2 linked regions of the Xenopus tropicalis genome follow. The protein of the gene in region 1 purifies or fractionates together with the protein of each later gene. This does not show direct contact. Links are inferred from orthologs where the notes say so. Each region holds a gene or a part of one and is shown in the gene's direction. Other genes may lie near its edges.

Evidence for each region. The genes of interacting proteins can lie anywhere in the genome.
Region 2: the proteins of iqcb1 (region 1) and exoc1 purify together in Homo sapiens (affinity purification with mass spectrometry; 3 studies listed by BioGRID and IntAct, counting the BioPlex papers as one, with this or other methods). This does not show direct contact. The link is inferred for Xenopus tropicalis from reciprocal best matches to the Homo sapiens genes IQCB1 and EXOC1.

What each region holds. Positions count from the first base shown.
Region 1 is NC_030685.2:88,565,473-88,568,026, reverse strand, and holds the end of iqcb1 (IQ calmodulin-binding motif-containing protein 1), read left to right. Parts: intron 1-491; coding exon 492-721; 3' UTR 722-1,969; downstream 1,970-2,554. Other genes in the region: adcy5 (adenylate cyclase type 5), read right to left, coding at 2,110-2,238, 2,434-2,554. UniProt on the Homo sapiens protein: Involved in ciliogenesis. The function in an early step in cilia formation depends on its association with CEP290/NPHP6.
Region 2 is NC_030677.2:40,666,753-40,670,417, forward strand, and holds part of exoc1 (exocyst complex component 1), read left to right. Parts: intron 1-6; coding exon 7-139; intron 140-905; coding exon 906-1,015; intron 1,016-3,342; coding exon 3,343-3,483; intron 3,484-3,665.

The sequences.
Region 1 (2,554 bases):
GCCTCAGTCTGACCAGGGGAAAGAGAGCAGCCCCGGGAGTAGGAAGAGCCTCAGTCTGACCAGGGGAAAGGGAGCAGCCCCGGGAGTAGGAAGCGCCCCAGTCTGACCAGGGGAAAGAGAGCAGCCCCGGGAGTAGGAAGAGCCTCAGTCTGACCAGGGGAAAGAGAGCAGCCCCGGGAGAAGGGAATAGAGATGCATGAACCCCAAGATTCAGTGAGATTCTGAGAAATACACTTGGTGCATCATTTGGTGACAAACTTTTTACCGTAATAAAGCGAATTAGGGTTCAGATTGAGTTTGGGGTTCGGCCGTAGGGGTCTCTGTATCTGCTGCTGCCTGTAACGGCCCCATCCCAGCACATACTGAGGGGTATGAAATAATATCAGTGTTACTGTAGGTTGTGTTTGTGTAGAAGGATCATGGCTCCCCCCCCCCCCCATGGGCATTATTACCCCCTCACTGACACCAGATCTTTTTACCCCCTGTTCCAGATGCCCCGGCCTTGGCACATGTGACAGAGAAGGACCTGGACAAGTTTACCAGCCGCTCGGTCCCCGTGGCCCTAAAAGCCAAACAGAGGCACAACGTGACGCTCAGGCGCAGCCGCTGGCCCTGGTGGCGGAAACTGGGGGACGAATTTATAGAAGACGACGAGGTTCTTCTCTCTGATCTTCCTGTTCCGGAGCTCGGGGCCCTGTTCCTCGCTGGCACCAAGGACTGAGAACCTCATACCTGTAATGTTCCATGTTATTATTTTTATATATATTTATCATATACTTTCATTAATAACTCTCGGCCCTTGGTTTCCCTGCTGGAGGCACCATAGCAACAGGGGGATAATGGAGCAGGTCCTGAAAGGGGAGGGGTTATGGGGAAGTGCCCCTAAGGGGGGGGGGGGGGGGTTCACCTTAAAGTTAACTTTTAGTATGCTATAGAATGTCCTATTCTCAGCAACTTTTCAATTGGTCTTCTTTTTTTTCAATATAGTTTATTTGCCTTTTTCAGCTGGAAAAATGTAGACAAAAATGGTAAATAATTACAAAAAAACTGTAACAAATAAATAATGAAGACCAAATGCAAAGTTGCCAGGAATAGAACCTTCTATAACGTACGAAAAATGATCTTAATCTTAAAGGGGCAGTTCATCTTTAAACTCACTTACCCACCGATGGGGTTAACAGAGAAGAGGCGCAAGTCTGTTTCTAGGGTTTACTGTCCCTTTAATGTGCAATGATCCAACAATGTGTGGGAAATCTTTATTGCACCAACCGACCAATGAAATAACAGAACCAAGGCGGTTTATTTGGGAGGAGTCAGCGGCAAGCAAAGTGCACAGGCAGTGGGGCGGCGGGGGCTGTGAATATTACTATAAAGGAGCCAATCAGGGCCGATATCTACCTGCCCGTTACCAAGGATTGGCCGGTTTGTACCAGTGATATACAGCAGCCATACTGCGAGGCCCCGCCCACCCCCAAAGGCTGTGTGGGGATGCTGGGAATTGTAGGCTAACAATGGAAACCCCAGGTAACAAGTTTCTCCCCGATAGTGATGGCAAATTAAAGGGGAAGATATCTAACAGTTTAGTCGGCGGCGCTGTATATTGCACTGATACCGCCAAGTGTGGGTCGGTCACGCCGCTCGCAATGTACAAAATATAGAATCTGTGGTTTCGTTGGTTTCACACTCGGATATTACAAAAAAAAAGATAAAATGTACAAAATCAGGACGTGCGTCCGGTCTGTCGCTAACGCGTTGCCGCGTGGGTGTCGGGGAAGCGACATAATAATCCATAATTGTACCGACGTCCCACCGGCGGGGTAACGAGTCCGCTGACACTTTATCCACAAAGGCCACGTTATCGTTAGTAAATATATAAATATCCGTGGAAACCGCGTGCAAAGTGCCGCCATGATACATTCCTTGGGTTCCTCCATGGAGGAAAATATCAATAAATAAATAAAGTCTCCGAGTCCTCAATCCGCTCAATGTGATATCTTTGGTCATTTAAGGAATGGCCCCGCCCACCCTTGGGGGCGGGGTTTTGGCTGTCGGAATCCTCGGAATGGGAAATACAAATGCCTCTCGCTGGGCAGAGTCTCTCCGTGTCGGCTAACTGCTGGAGGGCCCCTGGTTCAGGAAATAGGTCATCATTTCCCCCTTGCCCTTCACTTTAACCACGCCCCTGCACTCCAGCTTGTAGTTATTGGCTGCCAGGACCTGCTGGAGATCTGCCGTCACCTGATTGGGCGAAAGGAAAAAAGAGGGAGACGTTAAGAATAGTGTCGGAAAGTTGGGGCATTTGAGCAATTAAGCTACTCTGGTTGCTAGACTCTCTAACCCTAGCAACCAGGCACAAACGAGGTGGAAGAAACAGGAAAAGGAATAAATATCAGGGCAGGGAAAAGGTATTAAGATTTGAGGTGCCCCCCTCACTTGTATTCGCTCAGGCACCCCGGTACTGTCCATCCGACTGGCCACGTTAACGGTGTTCCCCCAAATGTCGTACTGTGGCTTCCTCGCCCCAATGACGCCCGCGACTACTGGCCCGATGTTC
Region 2 (3,665 bases), on another chromosome or scaffold:
TTTTAGAACCACATGGATTTATCTAAAGGCCACATTAAAGCTCTCCAAGAAGCAGATCTTTCTTCATCTCGAGGGATTGAGGCTTGTACTAACGCAGCAGAGGCTCTCTTACAGTGTATGAATGTGACTCTTCATCCTGGTAAGAGCAGTGCTTGCTATAAAGGTTGTGGTTATTGGCTCTCTGACCATTTACTGTAATGGTTATAACAGTGTTTTTCTGCTACATTGAGATACACTTATGGTTTTACATCCACGAGTATTTCTATGGTCAGAAATACACCCTTACCGTATATATAATATTACAGCCACAAGCTACAGTGTAGGAGTAGGAAAGAACAAAATCATGATAACTTATGTCATGTTCTGCTGTTGCCTCCAGTATACCATGGTGGTCCCCATTATCATCTGCATTTTAAGTCTTAACATGTAACATGTAAGCCAGCCACTGCAAAACTGATCTTCCGCCTTCTTGGCTTTTTAAGCACATCAACAGAATTGAAGTGCATATGAGTGCATATTTATCAAAGGGTGTAAAAAGAATACTCCACTAATTTCCTTTTATTCATTTCAACCTATGATAACTGTACCCCTTTTCAAATGATGTATGGAGATGTTTATGAATATTGCTCTTTTCAGCCTTTGCTAAGTATGCCCCATTTGTTAATCTGAGGTACCCTATTTGTTGGGCTACAATTTTTATAGCACCCAGATATTCACTGATCAAGCATGCTCAGTATAGGAAACTAGGGAACGACAGGCTGGAGTGTACTCTACAGATTCGTATTTAGATATTGCATCAGGCACACCCCGTGCGTTAGTAGTTTAAAAGGAAATAAAACAAAATAGTTGTGTAAAGAAAATGATAGATTTTATAAAGAGCTTTTTCTTCTGAATTTTCTTTGTAGGACACAAAATGCTTCAGGCTGTTCAGCAGCAACAGCAGCTTTTCAGTGACCTACGGGAACAGTTTGCACGGAGACTGGCCAGCCACTTGAATAATGTCTTTGTCCAGCAGGTATTTTCCTATCTGTTTTCACACTTTATTTCATACACAAATGTCTTCAGTATTGAAGTGTTAACCACAGTCATGAGTCATAATAAAGTCTCTGAGAATCCAAATAGAGGTTTTCTGTTTGAGTAGGCTTCCCCAGTATTTTTAAGTTGTGCTCTTATTCAGGTGCAGTGAAGTTCAGTGAATTCTGTTTCCAATATACCTTAACAGAAAGTATACAGAATGGAGATTCATTAAAGTAAAAAGGAAATTGCCAGCGCTCGGTCTAACCCATGCTGTAGCACTGACCAGCAGCTAGAAACACCTTAATGGTAGCACTTGGCCTAACCTATATTCTGGAGTTGACCAGCTGCTAGAAACAATAAAAGGACATTATTTGCACACACAAGGAGGGAGAATGATAGCCAGTGCACAGCTCGCCCAGTAAGAGGGGAGGGTTATTTTAAATCACCCAGAGCCATTTACTTTGCTTCTGCCTTTAAGTATGCCAGGCACCGAGTATAAAAGTTTTTTTTAGAATACCATTTACTTTTGATTGTCATATTTTGATTTCTATTAAAACAGTTCTGTTCCTGTATTTTATTTCCCATTAGTTTACACAGATGTTCCCTCAGTTATATAGCAGGTTCTGCTCCATGTCTAAGGCTGTGAGTACCTGGAATTGGACAATGAGATCTTGAGTTTGTTTTAGCAGTTGTCAATCTAAAATTCTGCAGTCCCTAACACTTAACTTTGTTCTTATTGTTTTTGGTGTTTCTGCTCTGCCGCTTGTATGTGCATACACATTGTACTAACTAGGTGATGCAGTTACTGTGTTCAACATATATATGCTTGTGTTTAAGTGCTTACTTGTTCCGTCAGCAGGGCCAAACCGATTGGAATCTGTTCATTGTTGGTCTAGGGTTAAGGAAGAGTGGAAATAGTGTTACAAACATAGATAAGACGCAATGAGAAATAAATGTTTCTGCTACCATTACTGTCAATTATTTCATAGAAAAAAAGACATCATATTCAGTATAAAAAATATATATATATTTTGTTAATGCAATAATGGCATTTGGCAGCTCATTGACCAGATTGTTTAATCTGTCACATCAGTCGCTGCCCCAGTGCTACACTCTAATCTCCCTACCACAAACACTGGGTCAGTTCCACTAATGATCGCCAATGATCCTACCTATTTTTGGACTGATGGAGAAACATACTAACTCCACGCTATTAGTGTATTGGTCAGAATGGATCCCTATATCCCAGAACTGTGAGCCACTTACACTAACCTCTGTGTCACCTTGCATTGATTTAAAGGGAAAATTCATCTTGATAAAATAAATTATTTATATTAGTACAGTAGACACCCCATTTAAGTTTTTCCAGGGGACCAGAAAAAAATTGTATAAACCACAGTAAAATCAGGAAAACATGCTAAAGCAACTAGAGTTTTAATTATTTAAAGACTGGGGTTTTTCTTTAATATACAGTTATAGGGGTAACTTAACTAAAAAAAAAACAGTTTAGCAATAATGACTGTTCCATCACAGGTAAATATTAAGTGTTGTGCCCCAGACAGACTCATACCCCTGATTTTATGTGTTAAAGCCAAAGGTAATACTTGTTAAACTCTATTAGCTCTGTCCTATGAGTGAATGCATTCTGTAAGCTAGGAAGAAATTTTATATATTGTATCAGTGAATAATAGCTCTTTAACGTTGGTGCATATCACAGAGGTACAGATGAGACTTTATGCTAATCTCTGGCTTAGATTCTTTTTTCTGCAGGCCAGGTAATAGATTTAATGATTTCCCCATTGCATTAACCCTTAAAGACCATGTAAAACATCAAAATAAAATTAACAGTGGAGCATCTTTGGTGTTTCCATTTGTTGTTTAAGTTATTGCCTTACAGCCAATATGTAAAGCCTAGTATGTTTTACAGGATGCCTTACAGAACAGATCAGGAGGCTAAATGTTGGTTAATAAATGATTGCATTATACTGCTGCATGCTCTTGTTGTTTGCTGGTTTTCATGTTTGTGTTTTGCATTTACAGTATTCCATTTGCATAACAGGCAGGAAAATTAATCCTAAAACACTGATTTGAGATATCAAGCTCTGCATAATGTTGCCTTCTTTGCAACAATTCCATTTTGCAAAGAGGATTAGGTTTAACAATGTCTCCCCTAGGCACCTCATCCCTGCATCCCTTAGCAGCGTCCCTGAAGGGGGAATGCTGCCATTTTTTGGTTTTCAGCAGCTACATCACCAAGGGGGGGAGTTTTGCATAAAGGAAAAAATTTAGTATACGCTATTTATTTTTTATTTTTTTCCAACTCAGGGTCATGATCAAAGTTCCACTCTTTCTGCTGAAATGACTTTACCAAATCACCATCCTTTTCACCGGGACCTGCTACGTTATGCCAAGTTAATGGAGTGGCTGAAAAATACAGAGTATGTTCGATATGAGGGACTCACAAAGGTTTGTGATGCCAATATTTGTTGCTGTGCCATTATTATTCTTTCTTTAAACGCTATAACACTGACATTATTCAGTGTCAGAGACTGTGAACGATTTAGTGATTTTACATAGTGAGAGAGTTAAATAATGCTACTATGATTCCATAGGTGGCTGAAAAATTAGATTTATTACCCCACCTGACT